Linked DNA regions of Oryzias latipes. The protein of the gene in region 3 purifies or fractionates together with the protein of the main gene of each other region. This does not show direct contact. Links are inferred from orthologs where the notes say so. Each region holds a gene or a part of one and is shown on either strand. Other genes may lie near its edges.

What was found.
Region 1: the proteins of ccdc97 (region 3) and sf3b6 purify together in Homo sapiens (affinity purification with mass spectrometry; 3 studies listed by BioGRID and IntAct, counting the BioPlex papers as one, with this or other methods). This does not show direct contact. The link is inferred for Oryzias latipes from reciprocal best matches to the Homo sapiens genes CCDC97 and SF3B6.
Region 2: the proteins of ccdc97 (region 3) and sf3b5 purify together in Homo sapiens (affinity purification with mass spectrometry; 3 studies listed by BioGRID and IntAct, counting the BioPlex papers as one, with this or other methods). This does not show direct contact. The link is inferred for Oryzias latipes from reciprocal best matches to the Homo sapiens genes CCDC97 and SF3B5.

The regions. Positions count from the first base shown.
Region 1 is NC_019882.2:13,000,294-13,004,077, reverse strand, and holds sf3b6 (splicing factor 3B subunit 6), read right to left. Parts: upstream 2,337-3,784; 5' UTR 2,214-2,336; coding exon 2,184-2,213; intron 1,860-2,183; coding exon 1,741-1,859; intron 1,254-1,740; coding exon 1,115-1,253; intron 1,019-1,114; coding exon 929-1,018; 3' UTR 650-928; downstream 1-649.
Region 2 is NC_019873.2:17,221,496-17,225,669, forward strand, and holds sf3b5 (splicing factor 3B subunit 5), read right to left. Parts: upstream 2,916-4,174; 5' UTR 2,791-2,915; intron 917-2,790; 5' UTR 892-916; coding exon 631-891; 3' UTR 25-630; downstream 1-24. UniProt on the Homo sapiens protein: Component of the 17S U2 SnRNP complex of the spliceosome, a large ribonucleoprotein complex that removes introns from transcribed pre-mRNAs.
Region 3 is NC_019866.2:18,440,711-18,444,987, reverse strand, and holds the start of ccdc97 (coiled-coil domain-containing protein 97), read right to left. Parts: upstream 2,894-4,277; 5' UTR 2,571-2,893; coding exon 2,415-2,570; intron 2,335-2,414; coding exon 2,170-2,334; intron 294-2,169; coding exon 134-293; intron 57-133; coding exon 1-56. UniProt on the Homo sapiens protein: May play a role pre-mRNA splicing through the association with the splicing factor SF3B complex which is involved in branch-site recognition.

The DNA.
Region 1 (3,784 bases), on a different chromosome or scaffold from region 3:
TTGATCTTTAAAACTTTTTTGTTGCAATTCTTGATATCAATCTCTTTAGTAAAATCCCAGCTTCTTTTTTTGAGGAAGCACCAGAAATAAAAAAAAAAAGTAACCATAGTTGGTAAAAAGAAATAATACTTAACAATAAAATGTGAAATGAGGAATTTTAAAACAAATGGATAGTCCCATGTAAAAATATAAAATATGATAAAGTGGATAAATTAAAGAATTCAAAATAAATAAAAACTATTAAAACATTTGCTAAAAGGCAGTTGAAAAAGATGGGTCTTGAAGCTTTTCTTAAAAGCAGCTATGCTCTCTGCAGCTCTCAGGTCCTCTGGCTGACTGTTCCGTAAACAAGGGTGTACCCCACCTTTGCCCTACAACAGCTAGGATAGGCTCCAGCAACAAATATAGCAGGTTAAGATGGATGGACGGAAAAGACTGAATGACGGTCAGCTTCTCAAAAGATACTTTTCTGTTTGTGTGTAAATGTGGGGGAAAAAAGAAAAATTAGCTGATGTGACAGGTTTACAAAACAAGAGTAAAGTGAGTTCATATGTGGTGTTTATAAAACAAAAGACAATGGGTTTAAAGAAAAAGAGACATTTATTTTACAATAAATGGGTTTAAACAAACATTACATCCATTGATGTTCTTGGAGCACAAGGCAGAGACCTGTTAACTTTCAAATAAAATTATGTGGGGGGGGGGGAAAGAACTGAACTGAAAACATGCCTGGTTTCACTTCAAATTAAAAGCTCAATTAACATCAGAGAAGTCATTTTTAAAAAAAGCAGACGGCAGGTCATGCATAAAAGGTTGACAAAAGCACCAAAACAAAAACCTGACCAAGCAAAAATTTTCAAAAAAGGGAACATTTGTACAGGTACAGAGAAATCTAAGGTGTGTGAGAAGGTTTTGATAGTCGTGGAGATCATTTGGGAGGGTCTGTGTTGATGCCGTATTTCTCTTTTAGGAGCTTCAACTGCTCTTCCTTCTTCTTTGTGTCCATTTTCTGGAAAGCCTGCAAAAATATGAGCGGGTTGATGGTAAACAGAAAAAAACAAACAAACAAGGAACCAAAAAGGTTGTAAATGGATGAAATAAAAAGCATACGTACTCTGTTGGCGTTGTAGTAAAGAACAACCAGGTAACGATTGCAGACGTTGAAGCCTGACAGGTGATCGCAAGCGTTCTTGGCATCAAATATGTCTTCATAAACAACATACGCCGTTCCTCTGCTTTCAGGTGTGTTACCCCTAAAATACAGCAAAAGCATGAAATGGTCACACATCTTAACCTGTTCCATAATAATATTGTCCTTAAAGACCCACTCTGATGAAAACTGTTTTAAAACATTTTCTCATGGCATTTTTCTGATGAAGGACAACATATATGAAAGAATATTGAGCTTATTTACATATTTATTTTATTGTCTGAAAACATATGAAAAAGTGATCTAAGAGGGACTCTTAAATGATGATAACATGTGAGGGGAACAAACAAAACAAGCATTTTTAATATGATTAATAATGATTTAAATGTCAAATTTAAGCAAATGCTACACCACAGTTTGGAATGAAACGATTTTTTAAATAAATTTTGCTTCTCATTAATACTACCATGTAAAAAAATTACATTTATATATATTCATTGTTAGTAGACGTGGTTGTGTGTTTAGGACAGACATTTTTTTAAATTAAAAATAAACAAATAAAACTGAAGGTATGAAGACAAAACACTTACGTTCGTATTTGACGTATGGGTCCATATTTGCCAAAAATGTCGTACATTTCCTCAGCCGTGATCTTGTAAGGCAGATTTCTTATGTATAGGATTCTGTTCACCTCTGGAGGTAACCGAATCTGCAGCACACAAAAAAGAAATGTGTAACAGAAAGACTAGCATGTAAACAAACGGTATAAGAATTCTTCACTAAAGTGTACCCTCTAACGTGCTAAAACAATAATAATTCTTTAAAATTTTAAGATGACAAAACAATCAATTTTACCATCTCATTTTCAAAATGCCGTATTTATTAATTTTTTTACGTAGCGACGCTATCTTTTAGTAACCAATAGCTGCTAAAGGCTAACGGAGGGCTAATTGTCCCTTTCGTGAGCACCAAAAACCATATTAACATATACTCGTTGTTATATAGTAAAGTTAAACACAAAAATTGACCTTACATTAGCGCGTTTCGCAGCTTGCATAGCCATGATGACAGTTTATTTCGTCTGAACAATAGCTAAACAACAAACACGCAATGCCTTTAGCCTTCACCAGGAAATGGAGGGACAAAACGAAGACGAACATCCGGTTAACGGATAATACCAATAGGTACAGCAATAGGCATGTGCTTCCCTCGTGTGGTTAAAAGAGGAATCACACACATTTTGAGATACTATTAACACAACTTTTTTTAAATTTCTTTGTAATTCTGTTCTTTGACCTAGAAAAAATCAACATGGCCATGAAAGTGGTTTTGTGGTTTCACAAGACACAAGAAATAAAAAGACTTATGTGTACCTCTCTCATCAAAGTGTTGTGCAATGAGATATATGTGTAGGGAAAAGTAAAATTACTTATAAACATCAATAAAATGCAAAACAGTTTTTTTTGTCATTTTTGTGTTAGGAAATTCCCTACACTGACAAAATCTATGTATTTAACTTTTTTGGAGAAAAATATTGGAGATTTGAGCACTAGTTAGAATTGCAGTTTGACCTGTTTACCCACAATTGGGGTTTTGGCGTTAAAATGAATCTACTCCCCTTTTGTGTCTTTTTTTTCTTTAAAGATAAAATCCAAATTCTATACATATTTATGAGGGGGAAGTTAGTAAAAATAACCATCTCTCATAAAAAAACAAACAGAAAACAAAGCTGTGCTTTTAATTTCTTTAAAAAAATACAGTCTAAAAAAGATCTTAATTCAAAGTACTCGATTCCTCTTCTTTTGTGACATTTAAAAAAAAAGCGAGATGACAATCACCTTTATAAATCTAACCACAAATAAAAAATATTTTTTCTCTAAAATGTTCGGAGAAAAAAAACTATATATAGAATATTAAATAGAATTGTGATAAAGTATTACAATATAAAAGAGGAAAAATAAACGACGACATGAGAATAAAGTCATAAAATTATGAGAAAACAAATCAACATGGGGTAATGATTTGTTGAACTGTTGTGCTTTTATTTTCTGCAATTAACAGGTTATGGGTTAAAGAAACGAAAAGAAAAGAAAAAGTATTAGTGCGCAGGCGCCATGTGGGATTTGATGATTCGGTCCGGTAACGGTTGCAGATTACGGCGGGAGTTTTTCCAACGGCAAACTGGCGTCTCTCGAGGAAAATCTAGAAGGGACGTTTTATTGAAGTCTCGCGACGTGGAAAAAGATCGACGGTTGAAGACCAACTCGGCGAGGAGAGCTTTCTTAGTCTGAGATGAATAAACGGGTGAGTTTTAGTTTAACATTTTTTGTAAACCAAAACGATAGCCGAACTCCTCGTATTGACTTTAGTTGTTTTTTTTTATTCGCAAAACGCCCGTTTACAGAAACCCGTCCTCAATGGCTAACCTAGCTTAGCCAGCGGACTGTGCTAGCTGCTGACGGTCCGATTGGATAAATTGTTTAAGTTTTGACCATAGTTACGACAAAAATTGTGAAGTCATAAAAATATATAAGAAAGTAATAATAATAATAAACTCATTGTAGGACTGACAATAGAAAAAAACGTATTTAGCTAAGTAGTTTGAGTTAACATGATATTAGAAATGAAAAATTT
Region 2 (4,174 bases), on a different chromosome or scaffold from region 3:
ACTAAAGCCTGCACAACAAAACAGTACTTGTAACTAAGACGTTTATTATAGGTAAACACAATTGGCAAATATTCAATCTAAAGATGCATTATTTTTGAAGGCATTTGTAAAAAGTAAAAAACAAAATCATATATTTTAAGCAAAAACAAAACCACTGCTATAGCCATTGCTGCTCCTTCAACAAAGTCCTAAGGATGACTTTGGTCTTTTTCTTTTTACAATAAAACGTCTTGTTTGGATGATTTATTCATTTAAACGTTCTCACTTTTTTAAATGCGTTTTAGAAAACTGACATATTTCCAGAATAAAATGATCAGTGAAAGAGCTTAACCAAAGGAAAAATAATGTTTTCATTAGAAATACAACAGTTCAACATTGTGCACATATTGGACATTTTTAACATTTTCTGAAATGGATAAGTTCAGGTGTCGTCATTCTCATTCGTTTCCTGAAAGCACTACAGTTAATGTATTCACCGATCAAACAAGTGAGAATAGCTTCAGTGAACACATGAATACCAGATTTTACTGGCTGCTCTGACCTCAAGGTTAGAAACAAACAACCGTCCAAAACTGAAAAAAAGAAAAGGTAAGAGGGAAAAAAAGCTGCAGCAGTTGGTTGGGCTGTGTTTTATGCATCATCGGGTTTGTCTGCAGGTGGTCCACATGGCTGAAGCATCTTCTCCATCAAGTTGAAGCGAACACGAGCTTTGCTTTCATTTTCAGCGATGGAAAAGTAGTTGAGCAGGTCAAAATGACCCATGTAGGAGCAATAAGAGTCACGGTGCTGGTTCACCAGCCATTCCCATTTGGTAGTGTCAGCATGCCCTGTTCCGATGTACTTGGACTGGAGATGCTCCAGCTGACTGTGGATATTGTATCGGTCAGTCATTCTCTCTGAGATCAGTCAACAGGCTCTGGGAGAAAGAAAGTAAATCAGAGATTTGAATTGTGCTTCAGCAAACAGACGATCCAGTCAGATAAACTCATAAACAAGAAGGTTTTAGTTATTCTTGTGACATTTGTGAGGAAAATTACAATTCAAAGATAAAAACAAAATAATTTGAAGGAAAAAAAAACTCAAAATAATGCCTTTTTTATATTATATGGTGGTACATGTAAATAAATTAAACCTTTAAGAAGCAAATGTTATAAACATGGCTAATGGTAAATACACTTCACAAGCCTATAAAATTCTATTATGTGTCTCTCCAATGAGTGGGGAGCATCTGAAAGTAAAGATTACCACATCCAACTGCTAAACTTCAAATATATCAATGAATGTCAGTTATACCATGGTCCAGGTGAATGCTCCATTCTGATTGGCTGCTGAGTGGGGATTAAGTAAGGGATAGTCACCAACAAAGTATACGTTGCCAGAAATTAACGCACGCCGTGGAAACCCAAACTGCCCGATGCTTCCGTTGATTATTAGTGCGTTGATTATCCTGCTTTTACCATGGTCACTTACAAAACAAATACATTTTCAATCAGTTTTTAGTCATTTATTCTTGTTATTTTTTCGGTTTACGTTGCTTTTTTCAAAAAAAGCGGACTTTTTGCAACATGGTGTGGCGTGTTGTCACGTTACCGTAACATGACAACACGCTGAGCTGGCACCGACCTCCACTGCAGCAGTAAAAGCCATAAATAAGCTGATCGTCATGATGGTGTATGTTAAATTAAAGCATCAGTTCAGAATGAAGGTTCACCGCTCACCGCTTGTTTTTATCCAGATGATGAAACAAATGTCTGTTTTAAAAAAGCCGGCGCAGTGACACAGAACATCTAAGCAATGTAACTGGAACTTCTTTTTTTAGACGTGCGGTTATCACTTTTTTAATGCACACTCAGCAGCCAATCAGAATTGAGTATTCACCCGTACCATGGTATAATTTCTGATAATGGACACCTCAAAGGTCATTATCCGTCTTTTAACGGACGACAAGGAAGCTTAAACTGTCAAGACACCTTGTCAGCTATTATCCTTTACTTACCCAGCATCCCCACAAAAATCTTATAGGACACATTGAACACATACCCATTCACCAGTCTATTATTAAACTAGTGTAGAAGTAGAATAATTATTAAATTACTATACTTTGCAGTGGTGTGTATAAACATCAAAATAAAATATTCAGTAAAAACAAAAATATTAATAAACCGTAGAGTTGAATGTCTAATACAGACTTTTCCCCTTATGTTTCTTACGTCCCTTTTCTCCAGATCATATGCAGTTTACTTTGACATAATGAAATACAAAAGCTTTGTTTTGTTGTTTGCACACCAACAAATTCTGTATTTCTTAGATTATCATCCCTTTCAATAACATGAAACAAGTTTTGAATTAGTGTGACAAATTAAAAACAAAGGCATGACTGATTTGTTAGAATTACAGGAAAACGACGGATTTCTCACAGCTATGCAGATTTGAACCTTTTAGCCTAGCTAAACTGCTAGAAATTCTGGTCTTAAGGAAAGGACTCCTCGGAGAGTCAATGGATAATTTTCCCATGAGGAAAATCAATATAATGCACAACTACCAGAAATTAAATAAAATCGTGTCATACTTTATTGCAGATATTTACCATTTATGGTATATGACCGTTTTTGAAAGCACGACTATCCCTTTAAAACAAAGTTACATTTTACTTTGTTAGCTTGATCCTATATCATTAGCCTGGGTCTCGGCTAATAACCTATTTAAACTCCTGAACTTTAGTTTCTCTCGTAGCCAGCGGTGCAACTTCCATGTGGCCATCGATGATATACATATAAAAGGTCAACTTACTTGAAAAGCGCGGGTTTGAAAAACAGGTGAAGCTTGAAAAAGATGATAAAAACTGCGTCCGTCCGAACACACCGCGACGAGCAGAAGCTGGCTTCCGGTTTGCCTTCGACTTAACAAACCGGTGAGAAACCGAGACGGTGTTTTTTTTGTTCCGACTTTTTATTCCTAACGCGATGGTAAAGGTGGACACCAAAGTGAACGACATATAAAACCTCATTTTATGGAAAGGTGAAAGGCAAGTCAAATATTCTGTATCTATTCCTTTTTTTTTTTTTTTTTACAATGATAATTATATATATTCTTGGTCATAAACAGGTTAGGAACAATATTTTTAGATCTGAAAACAGTTTCAGGTTTTCGGTTTTAAAACAGCAGGCATTTAATGAATGTCAACTGTAGTGGACACCAGGACCATTTTAATCTATTTAATGGCTACACATTATTTTTAGGTGAAAGAAGTGAAGCTGAGAGGATTCTGTACCAGATAGTCGAAGGTTGATTCATATTTGGAGCTTTCGGATGATGAAAAGGATGAGGAGGGTGAGATTCAGTCTGTGATAGGTGATGATGAAGATGAAGAAGATGATAATTCAGGAGAATCTGATGAGTCAGAGAAGGTGCAGCAAAGTCTTCGTGCTCTGTGGACCAGGACTAACTTGCATGTTTTATTTAGTTTCAGGCTAATGTCTTACATTTTATGACCATGTTAGAACATTGTAGTGTTTGTACTATGTTTAAATGGAAAAAAAAAAAACTGCTTTTTTTATTAACTTGATTTTTTTTGTGTTTTTTAAACGTACATCATCACAGGTTTACACCTGTGCTAGCAGGGCGCCCCGCTCAAGATGACCCCAAAGTTTGTGAATACTGGAGTCCAATCTCGTACTTTTCACAGTACATCGATAACAATATTTTCGAGGATCATCTAATGTTTTTTGGGTGAATATCACTCTAAAGATTTAATCTGCTCCTTTTTTCTGATTTTCCAAATTGATCTCTATTTTCACAGAAATATCATCCTGTTGTCTTCTATCTACAATAAAAAATATTTTTAAAAAAATTAAAATTGTTAGGTGTTCTAGGCCTAAATAGATAGGAAATCACATAAAAACAGGAATTGTAAGACACTTTTTTTCCTCGGTTCTCAGGAGGTTGAATGTTTTTTTAAATTTTTACATTAAAGTTTTACATTAGACAGGAATGGTCTGATGGTTTTCAGATGTCAGTATGTGACCAGTGGCCATGTATTCACGTGTGCAAAAAACCCTGCTTCGTCAGTATTACTAAATGTGCTACATAAATCAAGTAAAGTTACAATATTTTTCAGTGATTCCAATATTTTATAATTTCTTTCATGCTATTTATGACACAGAATAAGAAACAG
Region 3 (4,277 bases):
CTCGTACAGCAGAGGCTCTCTCCTGCGCATCTCTTCCTCACTGAAATACTTTCCCTCTGCGAGAAGACGGGCCGTGATATCATCAGCACAAACAAACAGACGTCCATCATGGAGAGGAAAGCCCGTGTCGTACCTTTCTGCAGAGCTCGGAGAGCGGCGTAGCGGTGGTTTCTGACTCTGGTTCTGCTGGTGCAGCAGGCCGCTCGCGTCCGCACCACATTGCTGTAGTGCTGGGCTCTGGGGTCGGAGCTGACGTGGGAAAACACAGGGAGGTGTTCGGGCTTCAGATAGGCCTGGAAACGGGGGAACACAGTTTTAAAGACTGTATAAAACTGCCTTTAGAACTATAACACTCAAAAGTTTCCTTGTGTAAAAATGTTACACCAAGTCAGATCTGTATTTTTAGAAAAAACTAAGTGTACCCACACCTTGGAATGAACCCCATCTTCAGATCAGACCTACTTTATCTATTTTAAAATTCTTAAGTTCAGTTTTTTTCATTCCTATGACTTTTATTTAATCTTGGTTTTGTTGAAATTGGCAATTTATTGTTTTCTGATCCATTTGTTTATGGTCACTTTGATTCTGCTTTTTGTAACTGAAGGGGCCAGTCCTTTGGGAAACATCCCCTGCTGTATTTAAAGGTTAAATGAGTAAAATTAAAATTTGGGGGAAATAAAACATAAAAAAAAAAAAAAAAGAATTGATCTAAAGGATCCTGTAAACTCTAAACCTTTAATGATTTAACTGCAAACTCCTAAACATAAATACAACCATGGTTCGTGCTTGTGGAGGATTAATGCAAACATGGGCTTATTCATGCTTTTCCCGCTGCACACACAGGCAGGGGCTTTTGACTTACTGTTAGCCAAAAGTAGGCAACTGATTGAACAATTATTGAAAATATTTAAAAAAAACGTATCGCCCATTATTCTTTATTTCTATCATAAAAACCCAAATGACTGAAATGGCCTAAGACTGCTCATGTCAATGTGTTTCGACCACCCCTGTAACTGTGAAGCAATGGACTATTCCATCAACAGCAATTTGGTGACTGATGAGCAAGTTTGCTGCTTATGTAAAGAGAGACCCTAAGAGGAAGCCCTGTTATCTGAGCAGCGGTGAAAGCAGTGTTGCCAGATTGGGTGATTTCCCACCAAGTTTGGCGGTTTACATTCTGGCAAAAATTCCTTTGGTTAGAATTTACAATTTGGGCAAGTTTGTGGTCAGTTCAGAGGTTTTTAGTTCCTTACTGCAGTACCTCACCTGTCATCATCCTCAACTGTCATCATGAAATGTATGCTAATAACAAAATAAATATGTCATCTAATCTGTTCTAATAATGCATTTTATCCTTAAAATCTCTGTATTTTGCACACTTTCTGTTCAATGACACTGTGTTGATGCAGTGAGCCCTGCCACACTGTGGGCTCTGCTTCTCGTCAGATTGCTCTCTCCGGGTGCCTTTTCACTTACTATGAAATTGTGTAAATTCGATTTGTGATCGTAAATACGCCTAATGTAAACATGTCAATTTAGAAAAAACACACATTTATCCATAAAACATTTTTCGATTGGAGGAGGTGGTTTTTGAGGCTTAGCAAAATTGACATGTTTCGCAAAACTGCAATGGAACCACTTTTTTTTTTTAAATCAAATGATTCAGATAGATGGTGATGGCGATGCGCTCCTTGGTAGGAACAGGCTGCACAGCAGGCGCCACAGGAGGCCCCACAGCATCACGAAGCTCACCAAAAGTTTAGCGTGTCATGCGGAATTGTTGGATCCACAGCTCCTCAGTAAAATCCCAAAATCGCTTTATCCGTAGCCCCTCCCACATGTAAGGAGCTTGTAAATCAGAGTATTGTTTACATCTGTTGCCATATTTTTGAATGACTTATCGCGGGAGATGGTTAATGTTTATTCGCATAATTATCATTTAATGGAAACAGTCTAATTCTGAAATTGTGTGTGTTTTTTACACTTCTAGAATTCATTTTTTATGACATTTCCTACATTTATTTGATGTTTTACCCTAGGTAAGGATTAAAAATAATGATCCATCTACTCCTGCAGACATCAGTGTTTCCTTGCTTGCCCCTTGGAGCCCCCAAACTGCCAGGTCCGCCGCTGTGTGCCGGACCGACCGAGGCTCCGCCAGAAACTCACGTGGTACCTCTCCAGGAACACCAGCGGCCTGCTGCGGAACTGCTGCAGCAGCTCCTGTCTGCGCTCCCCGAGGCTCAGCTCAGCCTCCCCGATCTGCTGGCTCCTCACCTGGCTGCCGCTCATGGCCACGTCTGTCAGCATGGCGTTCACGCAGCTGGACTCGCTCTGTGAGCAACAGCAGCGTTAGCGCAGCTTCAAACCAGGAAATGTCTGAAGATGTTGTACATGAATGCAGAACGTCTTACCTGAAAGTCTCGTGGGAGCTGCCGGGTTTCCGTCTGTCTGTTCTGGTCGCATCTCCGTGGAAAGTCCACAGGTTTCGCCGGTTCTTTACTCTCCGGTTCGCTCTCATGTGAACTTGGATGGGTTTTTACCGGAGGCTCGATGATTTCACCCCACATGATTATTCACAGTCAGTCAAAACAGCTTAAAACCGATGTAAACAAACCCGAGCGAGCTGTGACTTTGGGTGTTAAATTCCAGCGTTAAGCGTTTTAGAAAAATTATATCCCTAGAAATTAAAAAACCTGTAAACCCATATTCAATTAATTGTGTACATTTTCATACTTAAATTCCAGCATGGAAATATTTCCTTTGCAATTTCCCTTCACAACAGTCCGTCAGTAACACATTCCCCGTTTCTCTTTCACAACAGTCCGTCAGTAACACATTCCCCGTTTCTCTGTAGCCGAAAGAAAGGTTCCTACCCTAAACGTTATGCCTGGTGTTGCTTGGTACGCTCTCTACTGGTTGATTTAAGAGATACAACCAAACAAAAGATCCACTGTATTTAAACCATATACTTTATTATATGTATATGATTTAAATGAGAAAAAACCAAAACAAACAAAATGTTATTAGTACTTAGATCTGACATAATGCAGCACATTTAATTCAGGAAAGATGAAAGAGAAAATAAAACAGAATATCAATGTATAAAACGTTCAAGAACTTGCAAGCAGCCTCACAGTTAATTACTTTTTAACTAAAAAAATTAACTGGTGGGGAGGATCTGGTTCCCCTAATGATCACATGGTTCACTTTGGCAGCGTGCATGTATCTCCACCCCCACATGAACGTGCACACTGGCACACTGCTCCCTGTCTGCTTCCTCCTAACACAGTGTATTGATGGATAGATATCTTCTCCTTGTCTTAGTGTCAGAATTTCACTTTTGGATGTAATATTTGTCTCTCCAGCAGATCTAACATGAATGTTTCACAGCTTAAAATAATAACCTATTCAAATTAGCAACTCGGCACTTGTATCCCCTCACTCTCTCCCCTCTCTCTCCTTTTATCTTTCTTCTAAATCCCCCCCATACACACACACTTTCCCCCTTTCCCTCCCATTTAATAAAAAGAATATGTAAATATACTATCATCCAAAGATACATAAGCTCTTTTTGTAATACTAAACCTGTCCAACACAAAAGGCCTTCAGCTCTCATCCGTTTGCTCAGTTCTTGGACAGAACAAGCTGAAAAAAATAAAATAACTGATGATATATTTATGAATCATTGAACTAAATTGTAGAGAAAAGTACTTGTAACTTTACTAAAGATGGCAAAAATCCACTTTTCCATCAAATCAATTAGTAAAGACATAAATAAAATGATCAAAGAAAATTAACAGTGAATGAAAAAAGGCTTTGAAATGCATCATGTATGTGTGATTTTTCGACTATATAAAAAAGTATAAAATGAAAGGTATGATGTTTGGGAACCTTTCGTTTTCACTTTTCTTTTTTGGTAAACATTTTTTACGCATTTTGTTTCTTTCATACAGCATCTTCCCAGCCCCCTTAAACTAAGGTCATGTTTATACTGGTAACAGAAATAATAGTCACATGTAATAATAATCAAAAATAACAATAGTTATAAACTAAGGTAAAAAAAGGCAGTAGTAGATCAAATTTACTAAAATCCTTAATTCTGCATTTAGGAGATGTCAAATTAACGCACTATTCTTAATCACAGACAAACTGGCATGTTTTTGTTGTTTTTTTTAATGGCGTAATCTTAATTTTAATCTATAAGTATTATCTATTACATAAAAGATAATTCCCAACGATGTGTCCGGAAGACTGGAAGCCTGATCACATTGGAC